Linked DNA regions of Saccharomyces cerevisiae S288C. Changing the gene in region 1 together with any one later gene gives a genetic interaction. Each region holds a gene or a part of one and is shown on either strand. Other genes may lie near its edges.

Region 1 (8,179 bases):
GACAATTTCATTGCATCGTATGCCATTTTCCTGCAGCAGTTTGGGCGAAGCCAAAAACATTTTATGTCTTAAAAATTCAGGACAATTTTTGGCTTCTTCGGGAAATTGCTCCTGCATGAATTTGTAGAATTTGAACCTATCCTCTTGCGGTATCGAATACCACTGTTTTGGGGCACCGAAATGAATATAATTTATGGAATACAGGTCCTGATCTTCCAAGTGCCAAGAAAAAGAAGCCTTCCATAGACCAGCGTATAGATAGGAGTCATTCACCCCAGGAACCTTTGTTTCCATATGGTCCAAGATGTTCGGTAGTTTGGCAACATTCCAAACGTTCAGCCCTTCAGGAAAGATTGATCCTGGTGTATCTGCGCCGTACATAGGCGTAGTAAAATTTAGCGTTTTCCAATAATACTCTTCCAAGAACTTTAATCTCTCCGTATTTTGGAAGTCAGATAAATCTATTGTATACTCCGTCCTGAACTGTTCAAAATCATCAATATTAAAAGACGATTCAAAATTTTTCAGTTTCAACTTCGTGGATTTGGAAACGGAGCCTTTCCTAGAATTACGTCTTGCTTTAGGATCCTCCGGAGGCACATAGTCCTTAGAAAGATCTTTCCACTGTATAATGTTATAGGTCTTGTTTTTCTCCACGTTCTGCACCATAAAAAGACCTTTATTACCAGAAATATGCTGCTGAATAGGTGATTTAATCTTGATCTTTTGGAGCGTTTCCGCAGAATAAGGCAGATCTAATTTGTCTTTCCATTCTTTAGGTGGGATTACTTTCACAACACCACTTTTCATGCCATATTTGTTTATGGCCTTGCAGTATGCATAGAAATCTTCGAATTGCTCGTATGTGGGTTTGAAGACGGGCACTCCGCCCACGATTTCTGAAGGAGCGATTAGTTTCGTCATGATTTCACGCAACTGAATATCCTCACCAAGACAGTCTTATTCTTTTTTTCCCTTTTTTTTATCTGTTTATTTTTCTCCAGCAGATCTATAAAATAAGTGGTACTAATAGAAAGGTTAAGTCCCCCTATTTTAAAATAATGCTGATAGAATGATTAAATTGGCCGCTTGATGAAAACCGCAAGTAGCTACTTCAGGGACAAGCAACGCCTTCGATGCGAATATATGTTTTGCTGATAACGATCTATGTACAGCGTCTGCAATTCTCTTAAAATTATCGCCTTGCCATTGTTACTTAAGGAGTCTATGTGATTAATTGCATGGCGATGAGGTTACCCTTGAAAAATATAGAAAAGATTTTTCCGAATAAAAAGAAAGTAAAACTAAAAAAAAAAAAAAAATGGAAAAAGAAAAAGAAACGTTTAGGGGAGAGGAGGGCTGCGGTTAAGGCTTATGGGGTGTATGGGCGGGGGAAATAGGGCATACTTTCTCGATTCACCAAACCCTTAGGTCATCTGATTTTTAGGGTTGTGTTCTTGTCGTTACTCAGCCCTAAAAAACATTCGTTAGGGTTGAAAAGTTGAAAAATGAATCGCAAAAATCTACCATATTAACAATGTACTAAAGGAAACTACATAATACATCGCAACGCTTCCCTCGAGATTAATTCGTATCCGTGGGTTATAAGGGCTTTTTTTGTGTATGCTACGGTCTACTATATCTCTACTGATGAATAGTGCTGCTCAGAAAACGATGACGAATTCTAATTTTGTTCTAAATGCACCCAAAATCACCTTAACCAAAGTGGAACAGAACATCTGTAACTTGCTGAACGATTATACAGACTTGTACAATCAAAAGTACCACAATAAGCCTGAGCCATTGACTCTTCGGATCACGGGCGGATGGGTGCGTGACAAGCTTCTGGGACAAGGTTCTCACGACTTGGATATTGCCATCAATGTGATGTCAGGTGAGCAATTTGCTACTGGTTTGAACGAGTATTTGCAACAACATTACGCCAAATATGGAGCCAAGCCTCATAATATCCACAAGATTGACAAGAATCCCGAGAAATCCAAGCATCTGGAAACTGCCACTACTAAGCTCTTTGGCGTTGAAGTGGATTTTGTCAATTTAAGATCTGAAAAGTATACTGAACTTTCCAGGATACCTAAAGTGTGCTTTGGCACACCCGAGGAAGACGCTTTAAGAAGGGATGCTACATTGAACGCTCTTTTCTATAACATTCATAAAGGTGAAGTGGAAGATTTCACCAAGAGAGGTCTGCAAGATCTAAAAGATGGCGTTCTCCGTACTCCGCTTCCTGCAAAACAAACATTTTTGGATGATCCCTTGAGGGTTTTGAGGTTGATCCGTTTTGCTTCTAGATTCAACTTTACCATAGATCCGGAAGTGATGGCTGAAATGGGCGATCCTCAGATTAATGTTGCATTCAATTCAAAAATTTCTAGAGAGCGAGTTGGTGTGGAGATGGAGAAAATATTAGTAGGACCAACCCCTTTATTGGCTTTGCAGCTGATTCAAAGGGCTCATCTTGAAAATGTTATCTTTTTTTGGCATAATGATAGCTCCGTCGTAAAATTCAACGAAGAGAATTGTCAAGATATGGACAAAATTAATCATGTATACAATGATAACATACTAAACTCACACTTGAAAAGTTTTATTGAATTATATCCAATGTTTTTAGAGAAGCTTCCTATCTTAAGGGAAAAAATTGGTCGTTCGCCAGGATTTCAGCAAAATTTTATATTGAGTGCGATCCTGTCCCCCATGGCTAATTTACAAATAATCGGGAACCCAAAGAAGAAAATTAACAACCTGGTTTCGGTGACAGAAAGCATTGTGAAGGAAGGATTGAAGCTGAGTAAAAATGATGCAGCAGTTATTGCCAAGACCGTAGATTCAATATGTTCATATGAGGAAATACTTGCTAAGTTTGCAGATCGTTCCCAGCTAAAAAAATCCGAAATCGGTATATTTCTACGGAACTTTAATGGCGAATGGGAAACAGCACATTTTGCATCTCTATCAGATGCATTTTTAAAGATTCCCAAGCTTGAAACTAAAAAAATTGAATTACTTTTCCAAAATTACAATGAATTTTATTCTTACATATTTGACAATAATTTGAATAATTGTCATGAACTAAAACCAATAGTGGACGGAAAACAAATGGCAAAACTACTTCAAATGAAGCCAGGTCCATGGCTGGGTAAAATTAATAACGAAGCGATTAGGTGGCAGTTTGATAATCCTACAGGGACTGATCAAGAATTAATAACTCATTTAAAAGCCATACTACCAAAATACCTGTAGTAGCTTATTAGTATACATAAGACATGTAGAACAAGAATGCATAAATAACTTTCTGTTACCTTATTGAAAAGAAAAAAATAAAAAAAATGAAAACGAAAATGAAATAATATCTCTAGTAGTTATTCTATGGTGTATGATAACTAAACATATTTATTAGTTTTTATATACTCTATTCAAAATTTTTTACCAGTTTTTAACTTTTTCGAAAGATATCTGTTACTATTTTTGAACTTTTTTTTTTTTTTTTCATTCCTTTTTTAGTTGCTATTATCAAAATAAAAAGACTGTAAATTATTATCAATGTCGTTATTTGCAATTGGTGCTGCATTTTGATTATTTGAGTTTTCCACAGATGAGTTCGCCTGATACTGTGGAACGAAAGTATGACCATCGTAAAAATTTCTTTCACTGTTGTTTGAAACGTTTGAGCCCATCAGGTCGCCTAATGAAACAGTTGCTGAAGTATCCGGAGATATATTTCCAATGTATGTATCCGCAGACTTGGGTTCATTCATGTTGATGGCGCTGTTGCTGTTGTTATTGCTGTGGCCCATCTCACCTAGTAGCTTCGATTGCTCATGGAAAAACGACTCTGGGTTTTCAAAATCGAACTCGGTATACACTTGCAAATTAGTCTTTGTTGTATCAACATTGTTTGGTGTTGAGCCACTGTAAGAAACGCGATTTCCGGTATTATTATTGGATTCTGATCGAGAAGCGTGTTTCCATTGAGATCTAATAAAATGATCGAGGTTTGCATCACTCAATCCCAATCCCGTATTTACCAATGTATACTTATCTTGATCTTGAAAGTAGTTTCCGGTCGCGTTGCTTGTTGTAGTGGATATTGAGTTCGTCATAACAGAATCTACGATGCTGCTACTAGTTGTACTACCGTGTGGCATCAAAGAGTTAAAATCTAAACTGTCATCCTTTCTGTGAGTATCCATCCCCATAATATCCCTTCTTTGGAAGTGTGCCGTATTCGGAATATCTTGTACTAGGACATCCTCTTCTTCATTTTCTTCTAACGTGGATCTAGGTATACCTTTTAGTGCCGGTATATTCTCCATTGGAGTATTGAAAGCAGAGAATTCCCCACTAGCGTCGTTTTCGTTACTGTATTCTTTGTCAAATGAGGAAAAATTGCTAGATGGGCGATAACTTGTAACAGTACTGGTACTTGGAACAAAGTTCATATTGTGTGTTTCAAGCACATTTGGAGTTGAAGAAGCAGATGCAGAACTTGGTAATGTGTAACCTGTCATGTAGTAAGGAGGAGTCACCAGAGAAGATGAAGGTGTTGTAATGTACGAATTAGAATGTTGAATTCTTTGAGCATCAGAGATAGATTCTTGTTTCTTCCTATGCCCTCCTTTGACACTGCCACTTTTATGCTGTGGTTGGCCATCCAAGAATATTTCGTTAACTGGGGTTGTACTATCCATTTCTGGTAGATCAGTGACGCTTGGTAAAGAATTAAGGTCTCTGGATAATCTATAAAGGGAAGACCCACGAGTTGCGGATCTTGCTCTTCCTGGCGATGCAACTCTTATTGGTGAATAACGATTTGACATGGATGATAATGAGCCAACTGAAGTGGTTCGCTGAGTTGGCAATTTATTAACTTTTATATTTGATTGCTGAATAGTTTGTGCAATAGTGGGTGAGGCTAGCGAACACGTGGACCCGCCAGTGTTGGCTCGTTTTCTAGTAAACATCTTACTAAATGCAATAGAAGCGTCATTTTCTTCCGGTAATTTAACTTTACTTTGTGAGTCTCCGCAGTTGAAAGATCTTGAAGTTCTTGGTGAATCAGGTGAATGCTTTGCAAAGTGGGGTGTACTTAAATCGGAGTTCAGACTTAAAGAGGATTTATTGTTACTGTAGTTTTGATCTTTGAAGTTGAATGATTCGGTAGAATGATATAGCCCACTTTCCTGTGACTTTTGTCGGTCTGAACTCTGAGGCGCCACTTTATTGTACTTCAATCTTGTATTTTTTGTGTTCATGAGAGGTATACTTGATAAGTTGGGAGTAGAATTTGTTTCGCTTTCAGTGAACCTTGATGGCGGTTTTGCTAGTGAAGGATCATGAGTTGATTTCGGAACGACTTCTTTCTCGGAACAAAAATCGTTATTGTCAATAGGCAGATCAGTAGTGTTACCCATCATGTTTAATGATGGAAAGGACAAGTTTCCAGAGAACGGAGTTTTACCGTTTAGCCTATTGTGTTTTAAGAACGAGTTATAAGATCTTTTGGTTGTTAGTGACGAGGCGTCGATTCCGCTTTCTGAGATAGGGGTTCCCGAAAGGGGTTTAGATTCTGAATCCATTTGAAGCACCATTGGTTGCTCTTCAACGATGTCCTCTATGTGTTCGTTCTTTGACGATCCAAATATCTTCAGCATTCTCCTTTTGGAGGATTTCTTCTTTAATTTCGCCTTTGGTGCTGGCACAGAAACCGGCTGGGTTTGCAAGTCAGTATCATTTTCGTTAGCCGTGTCCTGTACAGTATAATTGACGAAGACCATTTCACCTGATTTCTTTCTACTACTCTTCTTCGCCTTAGTATGGTTGTCTCTGGGATCCTCTAGCAAAACTTTTTTCGGGCTAGACATAACATTCATAGTAGGTAATACTGGAGTGCTACATGAGCCTGTTGAGGAGTTCCTGTCCGGCGAAGCTTGTGTGCTGCCGCTAGCGGATCTGCGATAATAGTGCGGAATTTTCCATTTATTCGTAGATTCCGTAGAACGACTCTTTGTGGAATTAACCGAACTGGAACGATGGTGGTGACTATTCTTCGGCATGTGCTATTGGTTTTGAGCGATAAATCAAGACTGCCTTGCTTCTTGTCTTAGATCTCCTTCTGAGCTTTCTTAAAAGACTTCCCTAAATGGCTGATCTGATTGTTTCCTTTATTAACAACAAATCCACTGAAAAAAAAGTCAATAATTTGATGGATATTAGCGAATGTTAACCGGAAATAGGAGTGAAAGACGTGTATTACAAAACTATGACTATGCCTGATTAATATCCTGAATAACTAGGCATGAACCTTTTTTCACGCAAATAATAACAATAGGCCTAGGATTTCTATGATATAATAAACTTTCTGTTAGTATAAAAAACTATTTTTGATAAATATAGTCTCTCACCTAGTCAAAAACATACGTATCACGGCTTGATTAATTCTTAACTCTACTTTACAACATTTCAAAAATTCCTTTGATCATGACCTTAATCAATTTTTTTGCCAGTTAGTGGAGAGTTCCCAGCGCTGGAAAGTGCTGGCGTCAGTTTTCCATCGGAAGAAAAAATTAGCCCACCATTGTGCGTCCTTGAATAATAGCGATCCGGGTTAACCGGGAGTGTTAATTATAGAACAAAGAAACCCACACGTCCGCTACTAAAACTTGCTAAAAGAAAGAGTTAACGCTGTAGTATGCATGAATTCCAAGGCTTCTAAGGCTTCTAAGGCTTCTAAGGCTTATCCAGTAATATTATGTAATATTATATATACAGTGAAAAGCGGAGTTCCATCAGCTATGGTTCGGATATCATTATTAATTGTTCTGTTGTGTTCCGATTAAGGAGGCTGCGTTAGTTACGCCTGGTAGATCTAGAGATGTTCTCGCTCTTTCCACAGAGTAGCGGTTATCTAGTTGGTTAGTGGCGATCATCTGTTCTCTTGTGCGGTCCAAGGATGACCTGACGTTGGTTGATGGGCCTCTTCCGAACGTTTGGGCCTGCTGAAATTGGGGCGATTGAAGAAGATCTTGTGTTTCCTTGGGTGAAGTCATCCAGGTTTCTTGCTTCTGATATCCGCTAGGACTTCCATCTTCACCGTGCATGAAAGTCATTGGAATCTCCTCTGTGACAACACTATCCCTTGAATAGTTCGATCCTCCTAAGTTGTCGGAAAGTGCTATGCCTTCTATAATCTTCTCTCCGTGTTGCCCAGCTTTTGTGACCTTGGGTCTGTTGGGATCTGTTGGATCGTAACCAGGAGGATAATGATCGAAATGGCCATGTTGCCACATCTCTCTTACTATTTCCACATCAGTTGGGTAGAAAAATTTTTGAAAACTGTCATATGTGAAACGGGGCAGTAAGCAGAACAGCACGGCAACAAAGAAAACAGCCCAAAATGAAGGTGCTCCATAGATACGCGCTGCAGCTTTGAAAAATTCTCTACTAGCTATCGCAGAAGACCATATTCCCGTCCATGCAAAAACTACGAGGCAAGACAGTGCAATGAATAATCCACTAAACCAATCCCATCTATATTGGTGTAATAAAACATATGTGTTACACGAAATTACAGCAATAGTGGTCACATAAACACCGACAAAATAACGATGATCCAATCCTAACCCATTGCTCGTAACTATCATATTTTTGTGATAAACCAAGTAAGGGAAAAAAAAACAGATAATAGACTGATATAATCCGTCCAACATATACCATAAGAACTTTCTTTGGTTCCATTCTTTCCTTAAAATTCCAACACGGTATAACTGAGGGACCACTAATGATATTGTGTCATTCACGTCCTGGTCCAGAATACCTAAGAAGATGACTGGTAGGGATGTAAATGCCAAATTATAGAACATCATGTATGTGTATTCATACAGGTAAGACCCATCAAAATCATTATAGATACCATACCAGAACAATGCCAAAGCAAAAATCATGTTTTTGTAAAAAAACTCAGGAATCATTTCTGCCAGTCTCTTATAAGACCACCTACCGTGAACGAGGACCAATCTAGCCAAATATCTGAATTGTCCAATGGCGTAGTCTGAGCACATAACAGCTTGTCGACCTTCTTCACCGGCAATACCAATACCAACATCCGCAGATTGAATCATGGCGACGTCGTTGGAACCATCGCCGATGGCTAGTGTCA
Region 2 (8,455 bases), on another chromosome or scaffold:
CCTTGCGTTTCAGCTTCCACTAATTTAGATGACTATTTCTCATCATTTGTGTCATCTTCTAACACCGTATATGATAATATACTAGTAACGTAAATACTAGTTAGTAGATGATAGTTGATTTTTATTCCAACATTTACTGGTACAATAGGTGTATGATATTTTCCCAAAGTTTAAATTTATATAATATAAGTGGCTTGTGCATTAATGCTCTTGAACGAAACTGGATAACGAAAACTGCAAATACTTGTAGTTTTAAACAGACACTTTCTGGGATAGGTCTATCAGCGAAGCTTGGGAATGTTTCGCCAAATTACCTGTATCCTTTCATGAGCGTGAGCAGGTTTAGGTCATGGTCACATCTTATTATATAAATTCTTTCAGAAGATTGTCAATTGTCCATCTATCGCCATAGATTATCTGAGAGCGAAGTTCCATTATGTCTACTAGTAGAAAATAATTTGAAGTTGAAATATAATAGCATTACAAAATTTTTTCTTTATATAGTCCGGTCTTGAAGAAGGATAACAATATTAAGTGTATGAAGACACAAGAACTTTTTCTTGGAAATTTGGATTTTTATGGGAGGAAACCTACAGCGGCAATGTATAATTATGATTAGTTCATCCTTTGCTGCCATCTGTTCGCAATTATTCATGCAATTGTATGATTATTGTCAGGCATTTCAACTTCCGGTAGATTCGTTTGTAATAATAGGTGAATTTTGTGTTGACATTATCAAACCGTTAAGATAGTGTTAGTTGCCAATTAGCATTTGCCTCGATAGAATGTGACGTTAGTTGTGGTACTAGGAATAAAAGTTGATGGCCAAACATTTTTCCTGCACATTTCCTTCAGCGTTTTCAGAAAAGAGAATTTGAGTAAAAATATTTTTGATGTTTAGGTTACCAATATCTCATTAATATAAATTTGAAAACAATGAATTTTGGGTTATACTTGGAGTGCATTTTATTGTGGTTAAAGGCTACAATATTAGCTAAACAGAATGTACAAGTAGTTTTCCTGGAGAATAAAAGAATTCTAAAAGAGAATCGATAATTCTATACAATAATATAGTTATCTCTTCTTTCGTTTATGTACTGTCGTTCTTGTTTTATTACGTTATTAATCCTTGCAGTGCACTTTTCATGATGACTGGTGACTGTTTCTCAATTTTTACATCATTTTTTTTTGAAAACATGATGATATACTAATAATTTGGATACTAGCAATAAATGCTTCTTGATCCTCTATTCCAACAAAAAAGTAACAAGAGCTTACTGATCTTCGGTTTTTATTTTACCTTATCCCAAATATCAAATTGAAATATACCGATTGTTTTAATCCGTTTTGTTGTATATTATCGTAATAATATGCAGATAATATACATATATACGTATTACGCCGATTAGGCTGACACTTTAACAAAATTTTCTGTCCAATTATTGTCCGATATAGTGTAACGGCTATCACATCACGCTTTCACCGTGGAGACCGGGGTTCGACTCCCCGTATCGGAGTTTTCTTTTTGCTTCCTTCCGCCCTTCCAAGTTGTTGCATAATCTTATCTGTCAAAATATGAACGCTTGAAAACTATAGATTATAATTATCATTTATTTAGCCATAATGGAGGGAAGAATAATATGATTGCATATCAAAGGTAAAAAAAGTCGAGTAAATGACTTATAAACGTAAAAAATATATTGATAAAAGACATAAACGAGGCCATGAAGGTGGGAAAAAAAAAAATAACTGCATAATAATGTTAACTAAATGAAAATAAAATGAAAAATAAAATGAAAAATAAAATGAAAAAAACAAATCATAGGACAAAAAGTTTCCAAATGAAGGATAAGAGGCCTAAAAACCAATGTGCTTTCCAGGCAAAACCAATCTTAGCAACAGCTACACTTTGGTTTTGTATAACTTCTTTTTATTTTTCAATGCACGCGGCTTTAACAGTTCAAAGCTACACATCATACCCGTTGTAACGCTCATTACTGCCCCCCAATTATGAAATTCTCCACAATAATTTGGTGCTGAAAAGATTGTGACAAACTTTTTCCTGGCAAAGAATTCATAACCATCTTCTACGACCATATGTCCCCTAAGTATTAAATCGAATTTAAACTTAGCACAAAAATCAAGAACGTTCCTCTTAGAAAATGTGTATGAAACACCACGATCATTTTCTGACCAATCAGTTACTTGAGGGTCTGGGTCACTCCACAGTAAGTCTGTAACCAGCCCGCTTTCAGGAATATCCGTTGGTCTTGCGACTTTTTCGATTTGCTTCATGTCATGTAAATCGGGCGATATACCTCCATGAACGCAAAAGATCTTATCTTGAATAATTGCTGCTAATGGCAAAGTATTAAATACGTCAACGAACATTTTCCATACTTTCGAGCTCAATCGCCTTTTGCATTCATCATAGAAACCGTACATCTTTGTGACATTAGCAGATTCGTGATTACCCCTTAACATAAAAAAGTTGTCTTTGTACTTTATTTTGTAACATAATAACAATAGTATTGTTTCCAATGAGTTCTTACCACGGTCCACATAATCACCCAAGAACAGATAATTAGTATCAGATGGCACACCAGACAACTTCAAAATTCTCAATAAATCATTAAATTGTCCATGAACATCACCGACAACTTTGATAGGCGCTTGTAATCTCAAAAGAGTAGGTTGATTCAAAAAAATTTCTCTTGCATGATAGCAAATGAGTTGAATTTCCCAAGAATGGAATGGAAAGTTCTTTTTTTTGGACGTTTTTGTAATTTCTCTTGACTCACCCACTTGTAGTAATTTTTCGATCGCAACATCGATATCAAGACCTTCATTTGAAGAGGTATCATGAGAATACCGTCTCAAAAATATAGGCTTCTTGCTACTTTTAGGATTAGGTATCCCAGATGTTGGGGACGAAGGCGCACCAAAAGAACCTGCCTTAACCGAAGATGAAGGAGACTTAACTCTGGACGATAACCCTGAAGATTTTAAAAATGATGAGGTTGATGAGGAAGCAGACGTAGCGGATGAGTAGTAGGAGGAAAAAGAATATGAGGATGGAGAAGAATAATTTGATTCACGATAAGAGGGTGATGTCAGGATATTATTTGAGGTAGTGGCAGTGGTAGTAGAGGAAGTTCTTGCGGTATTGATCAGCTTCGGAGCAGTTGCTGATGAGGATAGGGCTTTAGCGACAGAAACATCGATATCTAGGTACAAGCTCTTCAAGTTTTCATCCTTAGTGTATATTTTCTGTTTATGGGCATTCTCACCAGGAATGAGCAAATTATCATTGCTAGCTCGTTTATTGTTGTTGTTTTTCCCGGCCGATGCTAAAGTGTTGTAATTGTTTATAGAATGTTTATTATTGAATTTCTTGATAGTAGGTAGAGACCTACTATCATCTGGGTCATTAGGTTCGTTACTGTTGAGATCATCTGAAGGTGTAGTTAATTGTTGCTGACTAGAGTTTGAATTAGTTGAGCAATTCGGTACTGCAAAGTTATTATTTGATCTGGACGGGCTTCTTCTCATAAATAGAATATAAGTGAAGGGAAAACAATATCTAACTTGAAAGGAAAATGGACTAAAGTAATAAAATAGGTTTTTTGTAAGGACAAGCTTGTAAATGAAACGTCAGAGACTCGGTAAAACAAGATTAATTTGAATGTAGTGATTCTGACCGATAGTATTTATAGTCCGTGAGGAATACTTACCAAAAAATTGCTAAAAGAATAGACACGTTTAAGGTATATTTACTAATGCCATTTTTTAAGAGATACGGAATCCAGCGAAATCGCTAAATTTGCGGTGGTTGCATTCAACGTTTTTCTTTCTTTTTGTTCGATAATTTATCATTTATTACGTTAACCGGGTTATACAAATACGCCTCGTTAGCTCGTATAGAAGTACATGTCCTTTTATAGTGCATAAACATAGTATGTTCCTTAAGTGTCCAAACATATTCGCTCTCTACGAACTTCGCGTTTTACCTCGAAAGCATTAGCTACTCTTTTAAACTGTGTGCTTCGTGTTGGTTGTTTTCACCTTTGTTGTGGCTGTGTATGCATGTAGCCCACATTTTCCATCCTGCGATTCACTGCCCTCGTAGTCGGCTGCAGAGAGTTAATGACGCGTTGGTGGTGCAAAGTCGTGCTGGAACCCATCGGGCCCCTCAGCAAGTTACGTGCATTCTGTGAAGCAGTGTGGCCAACGCTGTGGTTTGTACTCGTTGTCCTATTCTTGTTGATTGGATTAACATCCTTGTTAAATAAGTAACTTTCGCTTTTCCATATACCGGACAACACTGCCTGAATCTTTGCACTTGCAAGATGTGGATAAAGATCATCAAATTTTTTGTCATAGTTAGTAAAGAGCAAATCGTCCTCATCCTTATGATCTGTATCACTGCTAGAATGTGCGATTGACTGAGCATCGTTATGGCTTTTTTTCCTGATATTATTTGCATTTCCCGTTATTATAGGTTGTACTCTCAACAATGCTTCATCTAATGGGTTGTAAAATCTTTTTACATTAGAGTATTCATGGGATATTCTCTCAAACTCCCTTTTCGCATCAATGTTTCCTGCCATAAAGATAGAGTCACTACCGTCATTTTGTGAACTTAAGTCCATAATAGAATTCTCCCTCTGCAACCATAATTTTCTTTGTGTTCTTGATTCTGCATCAATCCCATCTGATTTAAGGAACTGGGCGAAGCTATTAAATTTGGCACCTGAGTTGGATTGTCTGTTTGCATCGCTACCGGAGTTCGTACTAGATGTAATATGTTCGTTGGACAATGGAGAGGCCGGGGCTGCAGAATTTTTGTTGAGATCGTTGGATCTCAGAAGTAGATTCTGATTACCTTTCTTGTGAAAAATATTATTCATTCTTGAACCATGGAAGCTTTCAGGAGCAGCTCTCCTCAAATTATTGGTTAAACTCGATATGGAGGTCGAAAAGTTGTGCTGTGGTACATTATTATCTTTACTACCGATGTTAGCAATGGTGGGGAAAGTAGACTGAGAGTTCGGTATATTTTGGCCAAGTTGAGATCTTCCACCATTTTTCTTGCTCTTGCGCAATTTGCCATCATCCAGTTCATTAAAAGTATCACCTGAAGCCATATGCTCACCCGAGTCATGAATTTCATTCCCAAGCGAATTTTGGATGGATGATGAATTTTCAAATCTACGTTCAACTCCAGTCGACTGGGAGAGAATCATATTAGGCGCATAATTTTCCAGTAAGCTATGCCCTTCAATATCCTTGGTACCAGCGGAAGAAATATCATCAGGCTTGATTAGATCTTCTTCTTCGTTTAATAATTTGTGTTGTTTAGAACTTTGTCTCCTAAGAGACATAAAGCTCGAGTCGCTTTTTCTTGATGAATTACTCCTAGGGGCATCAATGTGATCTTCCTGATCAAACTGTTCATCTGAATGACTTGGTTTTTGATTACTTTTATGTGCAGCTAAGGTATTACCAACATCAAGAATTTTTTTTTCTTTATCATATGGTGCTTCTGATATATTATCGCCCGCTTTAACCAATGAGGCCCTCAAATTTTGAGAATGGCTGGACAAGTCATCAATATCAGCTTCCTTCGTCACCTTTGATTGCCCCTCTTCATTGATTACACTTGTTGCATTCAGTTTTGTTTCAATTGAGCTTGGAGATGTTTCTCCATCTTTCTGATGTTCTATAGAATGGCTTGATTCTCCGAAATAGTTATTGGAAGATAAATGAGGTAATGGTAAGGATACAGCTCTATGATTTTCCTTTCCATCAGTACCTGATTTATCTTCTTCTTGTTCATCTATTGAATCCGGGGATTGTAATTCATTCTGATTTAATTGCTGCACATTCTTTTTTTCTTCAGGCATAACATGCTCGGCTATTACTTTATCATTATTCACCTTTCCATCTTCAATGTTGTCTTCCGAAAAACATTCCACCTCCTCGTCAGTAGTAGATTCACTCTTTTTAGATTCTTGCGCATCTCGAAGACTCAGAACAGATTGGGTACTTTTACTTCTTCGTGGTTTCAGGCCGAAACCAGCAGTTCCAGTATTAGAATGACTGCTGTTCTTTGGACTGAGCAGCGTATTATGCACCGGACTATGAAAGGATGCTGATCTTTTTCCTTGATTGGACTTTACTCTTGTTAAAGCTGTCATATTCAACCCACTAATCGTTCGCTTTCTGAAAAGTGCATCAGAACTCTTGCATTTCTGAGAAACGTTGTGCTTATTAAAATAATCATTATCCAGGGTGCCATCATGTGTTAAAACTCTACGCAAACCTTTGAAGCTTGCGTTACTCTTTGCTCTCGACCTAGTCGAAAACTGTCTAAATGGCTTTGACTGGTGTGATACTGTTGACGCATTAAGAGATGTTACATCAGTGTCTGACTTCAAAGTCCTTCCTCGATGAACCATAATTATAGTTACTCAGTAAGGATATATGATATATCCCAATATCTATGTTTACCTGACCCGTAAATCGATAGAATGTGCTAGTCCATTAGATGTTTGGATTCCTTAATCATCGTGCCAGCCAAATCGCTATACCATCCGCAACTAGCTATCCTTGCGGTTACCCGTACAAGAGTAAGCTCGGTTGATAAAAACAACGTTGAATTAGTCGTTTTTATATCCATATAGATGTATATATATGTATAGATGTGTTTGTTCGCCTCATTACAGTTATACTTTGGTTGAGAATAATATTGCAGTGTTTTGCGTTTATTGAATGGCATTAGTGTTATTTGAATATTTTTTCTCCCATAGTAGTAACTCTCTAGTCAGGTCGTCCATCATTGATAGACTTTCATTATAACCGTTGTAAATCGTATCAACTTTTTCTACGAAATGCTGGTTTTCCACGAATCGTACAAATTCCTCTCGATCAGACTGATCTTCACTCAATTCCCATTGAGTTCTAGAAATGAACTCCAAAATAGCGGATACCCTTCTTCTCATTTCGTTTAATGAGGTCCTTTGAGGGGGTAATCTGGGCTTTACTGGTTTGTCGGTACCTATATCAGCACTCCTTCTATTTTGGTTGGTGTCTGAACTTGTATTGCTTCGACGAGTTCTGTTGCCCTTTCTTGCTGGTTTGGAAACTCTTTTAGAACCCCTCGAACTAGCTTTCCTTGAATCATCCTCAGAAGAAGATATTGAGGTTAGGGGTAGGATGGGTTCATCAGTTTTCTCAGTGTCTTGCGCCGAACCCGTAGAAGATTCCTTTTCTTGACTAGCTTCTTTTTCCACATCATTTGTTTTTTCCATTGATTGCTCTTTCGATGGTCGTAGGCTTTCTTTCATATCATCATTTGTTACCGAGTCCGGTTTGCCTTCCGTTAGCATAACATCCGTTTGTAATCGAGTGGTGCCGTTGTGATTGTCGGTATCACCTTGGTATATATCAGCATCATTTTCATAACTTTCAGGATCTTCTTGATGTGATGTCCTCCTGCTTTCTTTCAAGGCTTTTTCAAGCATTCTTTGATATTGCTTTTCTTCTCTTGCCATGAAAGTTGCCCTTTTTCTATCCAGTAGCTTCTTATCACTATCTCCAGGATCCAGTGAATACTGATCGGTAGAAGCATCATCCATTGAATTCCTCCTCCTCCTTCTACTTGACCTCGTGTTGCCGTCCTTGGCTAATGCTACAGCCGAAGCTTCATCTTCTACTTCATCTTCTTCGTCGCCGATATCGTCGACGTTATCATCGGTATTGCTGGTATTTCTGGGACTTTTCTCTGCTTCATTGGCGGCATGAGATTTACTTGCAGCTGCACTTCGTGCCTTCCTTCTTGATTGCCTCCTTTTCTCTTGCACAGGTTTATAGATTGACCTTGCTTCGCCAGTATCTGTGGTAAAGAGCTGATGTAACTCCGGTCTGCATTGCTCGCACCAATATTTATCAGGTGCGTTGTCTTGAGTAATACTCACACAATAACCGTGCTGCCAGGAACTGCACTGCTCACATTGAATGAAAAATCCGGAGTCATCTGGAGTATCGAGCTCTCCACAGATACAGCGAGTTTCGCCTTCCTCTTCCTCGACTTCCCCCTCTCCACCTTCCATAGGAACATCTTCTTGTTTTACACTTTCTTCCTGTACACTTCCAATCGCCGCCGTTGTTGTCGCTGTTGATGTTGTTGATATAATGTCTGTGGACCCACTAGCAATGACTTCCGCTTTCTCCATATCTTCACTACCCACAACAGGGCCTTTAGGCACTATTGCTGTCGATTCCATTACTCTTCTCTATACTCCTATATGTTTATGCTATCTTTTAGTAAGGTTACGCAAAGTAAACTTCGAAGGAAACAAACTATTGATGGTCTCTGTTGTGAACTTTGTACCCCTGTAAATACCCAGTTACATAAAATTCATATACGAAAACCAACAAGAACAAAAAAGAA
Region 3 (7,792 bases), on another chromosome or scaffold:
ATAACTGATTTTTTGCTTTAGCACATCACAGCTAGAATAAACTTCCAAAAATCACCCGCTTGCAATGCTGTCCATTTTAAGAAATTCGGTGAGACTAAATTCAAGGGCTCTTAGGGTTGTGCCATCTGCCGCCAACACCTTAACATCGGTTCAAGCATCCAGAAGACTTTTAACAAGTTATTCAAGTTTTTTACAAAAAGAAACAAAAGACGACAAGCCTAAATCCATTCTTACAGATGATATGCTGTTCAAGGCCGGTGTTGACGTCGATGAGAAGGGCCAAGGCAAAAACGAGGAAACATCAGGAGAAGGAGGAGAGGACAAGAATGAACCTTCTTCCAAAAGTGAAAAATCTAGAAGAAAAAGACAAACTTCTACAGATATTAAAAGAGAAAAGTATGCTAACTGGTTTTACATTTTTTCGTTGTCTGCGTTGACAGGTACTGCAATCTACATGGCAAGGGATTGGGAGCCTCAAGAGTCTGAAGAATTGAAGAAAGACATCGATAATGGCTACACTTTATCACTTATGTATAAAAGATTCAAGGCCAGGTTCAACTCAATGTTCACCTACTTCCAAGAGCCACCTTTCCCTGATTTACTACCTCCACCACCACCACCACCGTACCAAAGGCCATTAACTCTTGTTATCACATTGGAAGATTTTTTGGTTCATTCTGAGTGGTCTCAAAAGCATGGTTGGAGAACGGCCAAAAGACCTGGTGCTGACTACTTCTTGGGTTACCTATCGCAGTATTACGAAATTGTTTTGTTTTCATCCAACTATATGATGTACTCTGACAAAATCGCTGAAAAATTAGATCCAATCCATGCATTCGTATCTTATAATTTGTTCAAGGAACACTGTGTTTACAAAGACGGTGTGCACATTAAGGATCTGTCAAAATTGAATAGAGATTTGAGTAAAGTAATCATTATTGACACTGACCCTAACAGTTACAAATTGCAACCTGAAAATGCTATTCCAATGGAGCCATGGAATGGTGAAGCTGATGACAAATTAGTAAGATTGATTCCATTTTTGGAGTACCTTGCCACTCAACAAACCAAGGATGTTAGACCAATCTTGAACAGCTTTGAAGACAAGAAGAACCTAGCAGAAGAATTTGATCATCGTGTGAAAAAATTGAAGGATAAATTTTACGGAGATCATAAATCTGGTGGCAACTGGGCAATGACGGCACTAGGTCTCGGAAATTCCCTGGGCGGCAGCACCAAGTTCCCGCTCGATTTGATTCATGAAGAAGGACAAAAGAACTATTTAATGTTCATGAAGATGATTGAGGAAGAAAAGGAAAAAATTAGAATACAGCAGGAGCAAATGGGCGGGCAAACATTTACGCTGAAAGACTATGTTGAAGGTAACTTGCCTTCGCCAGAAGAACAAATGAAAATACAATTGGAGAAGCAGAAGGAGGTAGACGCCTTATTTGAAGAGGAAAAGAAAAAGAAGAAGATTGCTGAATCCAAATAATTTTCATGTAAACCCTCTTCTCATGTATCTACGTATCTATGTGTGTATGTAAATGTACCTGTACACTCCCCACACCCTCATTTTGTTACTGTCATGTGAATAAAACTTATGTATATTGCTAACTTACTACCACTGCACCTCCTAACATCACCATACTACGTACAAACACGCCTATTTATTTTTTCTATGTTAAATTTTAACGATGTAGACACACCTAATGATCTGATGCGCTTTGCATATCTCATATTCCTTCACTAGCATAAAAATCCAAAAAAAAAGAATATTTAGGCCGAATGGAATTATTCGTAACGTCATACGAAAAAAGTTTCAATTCGTACAATGCCTGGCATGTTCATTCGAATATAAGGCCGCCGCCTTCCAGTCAGGGTAGCCAAAAGTATAATCCCGGGTGGAAACTAAACTAAAAACCGTACTCACAACTTTCCGCGGACGCTAACAGACAAATAGACACACTATCAGGTCAGGAACTGCCGTCACATACGACACTGCCCCTCACGTAAGGGCATGATAGAATTGGATTATGTAAAAGGTGAAGATACCATTGTAGAAGCAACCAGCACGTCGCCGTGGCTGATGAGGTCTCCTCTTGCCCGGGCCGCAGAAAAGAGGGGCAGTGGCCTGTTTTTCGACATAAATGAGGGGCATGGCCAGCACCGAGACGTCATTGTTGCATATGGCGTATCCAAGCCGAAACGGCGCTCGCCTCATCCCCACGGGAATAAGGCAGCCGACAAAAGAAAAACGACCGAAAAGGAACCAGAAAGAAAAAAGAGGGTGGGCGCGCCGCGGACGTGTAAAAAGATATGCATCCAGCTTCTATATCGCTTTAACTTTACCGTTTTGGGCATCGGGAACGTATGTAACATTGATCTCCTCTTGGGAACGGTGAGTGCAACGAATGCGATATAGCACCGACCATGTGGGCAAATTCGTAATAAATTCGGGGTGAGGGGGATTCAAGACAAGCAACCTTGTTAGTCAGCTCAAACAGCGATTTAACGGTTGAGTAACACATCAAAACACCGTTCGAGGTCAAGCCTGGCGTGTTTAACAAGTTCTTGATATCATATATAAATGTAATAAGAAGTTTGGTAATATTCAATTCGAAGTGTTCAGTCTTTTACTTCTCTTGTTTTATAGAAGAAAAAACATCAAGAAACATCTTTAACATACACAAACACATACTATCAGAATACAATGACTAAGCTACACTTTGACACTGCTGAACCAGTCAAGATCACACTTCCAAATGGTTTGACATACGAGCAACCAACCGGTCTATTCATTAACAACAAGTTTATGAAAGCTCAAGACGGTAAGACCTATCCCGTCGAAGATCCTTCCACTGAAAACACCGTTTGTGAGGTCTCTTCTGCCACCACTGAAGATGTTGAATATGCTATCGAATGTGCCGACCGTGCTTTCCACGACACTGAATGGGCTACCCAAGACCCAAGAGAAAGAGGCCGTCTACTAAGTAAGTTGGCTGACGAATTGGAAAGCCAAATTGACTTGGTTTCTTCCATTGAAGCTTTGGACAATGGTAAAACTTTGGCCTTAGCCCGTGGGGATGTTACCATTGCAATCAACTGTCTAAGAGATGCTGCTGCCTATGCCGACAAAGTCAACGGTAGAACAATCAACACCGGTGACGGCTACATGAACTTCACCACCTTAGAGCCAATCGGTGTCTGTGGTCAAATTATTCCATGGAACTTTCCAATAATGATGTTGGCTTGGAAGATCGCCCCAGCATTGGCCATGGGTAACGTCTGTATCTTGAAACCCGCTGCTGTCACACCTTTAAATGCCCTATACTTTGCTTCTTTATGTAAGAAGGTTGGTATTCCAGCTGGTGTCGTCAACATCGTTCCAGGTCCTGGTAGAACTGTTGGTGCTGCTTTGACCAACGACCCAAGAATCAGAAAGCTGGCTTTTACCGGTTCTACAGAAGTCGGTAAGAGTGTTGCTGTCGACTCTTCTGAATCTAACTTGAAGAAAATCACTTTGGAACTAGGTGGTAAGTCCGCCCATTTGGTCTTTGACGATGCTAACATTAAGAAGACTTTACCAAATCTAGTAAACGGTATTTTCAAGAACGCTGGTCAAATTTGTTCCTCTGGTTCTAGAATTTACGTTCAAGAAGGTATTTACGACGAACTATTGGCTGCTTTCAAGGCTTACTTGGAAACCGAAATCAAAGTTGGTAATCCATTTGACAAGGCTAACTTCCAAGGTGCTATCACTAACCGTCAACAATTCGACACAATTATGAACTACATCGATATCGGTAAGAAAGAAGGCGCCAAGATCTTAACTGGTGGCGAAAAAGTTGGTGACAAGGGTTACTTCATCAGACCAACCGTTTTCTACGATGTTAATGAAGACATGAGAATTGTTAAGGAAGAAATTTTTGGACCAGTTGTCACTGTCGCAAAGTTCAAGACTTTAGAAGAAGGTGTCGAAATGGCTAACAGCTCTGAATTCGGTCTAGGTTCTGGTATCGAAACAGAATCTTTGAGCACAGGTTTGAAGGTGGCCAAGATGTTGAAGGCCGGTACCGTCTGGATCAACACATACAACGATTTTGACTCCAGAGTTCCATTCGGTGGTGTTAAGCAATCTGGTTACGGTAGAGAAATGGGTGAAGAAGTCTACCATGCATACACTGAAGTAAAAGCTGTCAGAATTAAGTTGTAATGTACCAACCTGCATTTCTTTCCGTCATATACACAAAATACTTTCATATAAACTTACTTGGTCTTACGTCATAAATAAATATGTATACATATAAATTAAAAAATTTGGTTTTATATTTTTACAAAAAGAATCGTTTACTTCATTTCTCCCTTTTAAGCGATACAATCCATGAAAAAAGAGAAAAAGAGAGAACAGGCTTGTGCCTTCTTTAAAACATCCCACACAAAATCATATTGAATTGAATTTTACATCTTAAGCTAGTGTACAACAACTGCTATATCCAAAGAAAACTAACGTGGACCGCTTTTAGAGTTGAGAAAAAGGTTTGAAAAAAATAGCAATACAAAGACTTGTTTCATATATAAAATACAGGGAGCACATTGAGCTAATATAACATAAACACTGCGAACCAATTCCAATCAAAAGGTACACATGAGAGCATTCCCCCGAGTACTGCCATTTCGCCATCAGAGATCATATAATAACATCCTTCTTCGAACAGTAAGGCTTTTTGGTTCATCACTTTCTTCTTTTGATTTCTCTAGGCAAATGCCTAAGGTGGACCCTGACAATACCGCTGCAATGCTACTACAGAAAAACTTGATCCAAAGAAACAACATGCTCTATGGGTATGGATCAGGGACAATACGATGTACTTTGCTAGACTCAACTGGACGAGCCAAATCACCATTAGTAGAGATAAAACGTGAGGATCTAGTATCAAAACATGGCTTGTTGCCCAGAGATCTACGTAAAATTGAAAAATCAAGGAAGAATGACTTAGTCCCTAGTTTGCTCGTGCGAGAAAATTCCATACTAATCAGTTTACTTACTGTGAAAGCCCTAATTAAGCCTGATATGGTTATTATCTTCGATTCAGCCGGCAGTGGAATAACTTTAAACTCAGAAGCTCACAAGGATTTTATTAACGATATGAAATTGAGACTAAAAAATCAAGAAACAAGCGAGCTAAATAGCGATCCACTTCCTTATGAATTCAGAGCTTTAGAAACGATCTTCATTTCGGCATTATCTAACCTTACCAGTGAAATGAAGGTGTTGCTAACCATATGCAAGGGGGTGCTTCAAGATCTAGAATTTAGTATAACAAGAGATAAATTAAGGTTCTTACTGGGTCAAAACAAAAAATTGAGCAGCTTCAATAAAAAGGCTGTTCTAGTTAAAGATATGCTGGATGACTTGCTAGAGCAAGACGATATGCTTTGTGATATGTACTTAACCGACAAAAAGGCTGGAAAAATTAGAGTTCAAGATGATCATACTGAAATTGAAATGCTTCTGGAAACATATCATAACTATGTCGATGAAATAGTTCAGAAAAGCGAAAGCGCCATATCTGACGTGAAAACCACAGAAGAAATCATCAATATAATCCTAGATTCTAACAGAAACGAATTAATGCTGTTAGGGATAAGATACGCCATAGGAATGCTTTCGTTGGGAGGCGCTCTATTCCTGGGTTCTATCTATGGTATGAATCTGGAAAGTTTCATAGAAGAAAGTAATTATGCGTATTTAACTGTCACCATTTTGGGGTTAATATCTACTGTTTGGCTCTATGCGAAGGGAATCAGACATTTGCATAAATTACAACGTATGACATTATTGAGTAAAATAAAAACAGATTCCGTTCACGAACTGTTGAAGAAATAGTTATCACGAAGAGTCAATCAATCTTTTTAATACGCATTCAAATGAATAAGAACAACTTTCACTTTTTTAAGTATATAAAAAGCCGTACAGGCGAACGTATATAATTAAAATTCTTTGGAAAAAAAGAAAGCTCGCACTCAGGATCGAACTAAGGACCAACAGATTTGCAATCTGCTGCGCTACCACTGCGCCATACGAGCTTTTGTTGTATAGTTTTAAGGCAATAGAATAATAACACTTATCCACGCAACAGTAATGTGGTTAAATAATAACTTCCTGTCAGGACTTGTGGTTGATTGGTGAAAATCAAATATCATGCTGACTACTAGAAATATTAGCAGTATATTATCATATACGGTGTAAGAAGATGAGATAAGGATTGAGAAACAGTCATCAAGTTTAATGAAAGTGAAATGAAAGGATTGATTATATAATAGGATAATGAATCACAAAGTATAAAAAGAAGGAAGAAAAAATGATATCATTGAGAAATTGATGAATTTTGAGATAATTGTTGAGATTTAATTGTTGATAAAGGCAATAATATTAGGTATATAGAATATACTAGAAGTTCTCCTCGAGGATATAGAAATTTTCAAAGGGGAATCGATTTTTCTACAAATAATATTACTATTATTCCTCCTTCCGTTTTATATGTTTCATTATCCTGCTATATTATCAATCGTTGCATTAATCGTTGAATTTCAACTTACTCGAACTTCGATGACAGTTTCTCATCCCTTATGTTATCTTCTTACACTGTATGTGATAATATACTGGTAGTATGACTACTAGTTGATAGACGATAGTTGAATTTATTCCATAAATTATTTATGTAAAACTGCCGACCCCTTTTGTCGATTTCTATATTCTCGAAGAGAACTTCTAACATTTTCTGTATACCTGATATTATAGTCTTTAACAACAACGGAATCCTCACAGTTATCTACGATTCATCTATTTCTCATCAGTAACAAAGATATTTCAGTAGTTATTTTATATAATTCATGCGTTTCACACATAGAGATGGTTTCTTAAGTTTAGAATGACGTATTTAGCTATAATAAAATGTTTCATTGTGGGATAAAAACTTGTGGGCCATGACATGAGCAAATTTATTATCAATGTTGATAATTAGAGGTAAAAAATTAGTATTAATGAAGAAGTGAGTACTGATCTTCTTATACTAAATAAGAGAGGTATATAAAACACACGCCGATTGGTCATATTAATCATGACCAATATAATAGTGGTTCCGGTAGTTACTATACATTGATGTGACGACTCATATTCCTCATATATGTACCTACCATATCATGTTCAACTAATAGGTCTTTAACACAGCTTCAGTATTGTCTGAGCTTCTCGTTTAACATTCCTTCTGCAATAGGCGCAATCACACTTAAACGTATACGAGTTGTACATTAATATACGATGTAAGCATTAGATTGTTACCATAGCAACTCATGTCACTATTAATTACTCTCGTTCCAACATGCTCCCTTAAAGATATATTATTGTACTTCAACAGATATTCATTGTGTGTTTAGAACTTCATTAATTAATTATCAATAGTCTGTTGAGGCCAAAATATCCTGTGATGTTATTTTATTTTTTAATACTTGTATAAATCTTTTAAAATCAGATGCTGATACTGGTTTTGTTAGTAAATCAGCAATATTACCTTTGCCGGTAATTTTTAACAGTTTTATACTCTTCTCTTTAATTTTTTCTTTTATTATTTCAGTTTTTATCCAAGTGAATTTCTCTTTTGGTTGTTGATAGCTGCGATTTAATCCTTGAATGGCTGGCTTTGAGTCAGTGATCATGACAATGTCATTATTGTCTCCTTCTCCTAGCTCCTTTAATGTTACCTTCAACGTTTCTGAGTCTGCATAGCCT

What was found.
Region 2: mutations in CCA1 (region 1) and PPQ1 together harm fitness more than expected from each alone (negative genetic interaction), as found in Saccharomyces cerevisiae (one large-scale study listed by BioGRID).
Region 3: mutations in CCA1 (region 1) and MFM1 together harm fitness more than expected from each alone (negative genetic interaction), as found in Saccharomyces cerevisiae (one large-scale study listed by BioGRID).

The regions. Positions count from the first base shown.
Region 1 is NC_001137.3:516,114-524,292, reverse strand, and holds CCA1 (tRNA adenylyltransferase), read left to right. Parts: upstream 1-1,623; coding exon 1,624-3,264; downstream 3,265-8,179. Other genes in the region: RPH1 (Rph1p), read right to left, coding at 1-924; BCK2 (Bck2p), read right to left, coding at 3,522-6,077; aminophospholipid-translocating P4-type ATPase DNF1, read right to left, coding at 6,834-8,179. UniProt on the Saccharomyces cerevisiae protein: Nucleotidyltransferase that catalyzes the addition and repair of the essential 3'-terminal CCA sequence in tRNAs, which is necessary for the attachment of amino acids to the 3' terminus of tRNA molecules, using CTP and ATP as substrates. tRNA 3'-terminal CCA addition is required both for tRNA processing and repair.
Region 2 is NC_001148.4:203,254-211,708, reverse strand, and holds PPQ1 (protein-serine/threonine phosphatase), read right to left. Parts: upstream 3,553-8,455; coding exon 1,903-3,552; downstream 1-1,902. Other genes in the region: TCO89 (Tco89p), read right to left, coding at 4,062-6,461; CTI6 (Cti6p), read right to left, coding at 6,768-8,288. UniProt on the Saccharomyces cerevisiae protein: Phosphatase involved in the regulation of protein synthesis. Affects translational accuracy.
Region 3 is NC_001148.4:429,875-437,666, forward strand, and holds MFM1 (Mfm1p), read left to right. Parts: upstream 1-4,648; coding exon 4,649-5,890; downstream 5,891-7,792. Other genes in the region: protein translocase subunit TIM50, read left to right, coding at 65-1,495; YPL062W (uncharacterized protein), read left to right, coding at 2,021-2,425; aldehyde dehydrogenase (NADP(+)) ALD6, read left to right, coding at 2,714-4,216. UniProt on the Saccharomyces cerevisiae protein: Mitochondrial inner membrane magnesium transporter required for mitochondrial magnesium homeostasis. Modulates the conductance of the MRS2 channel.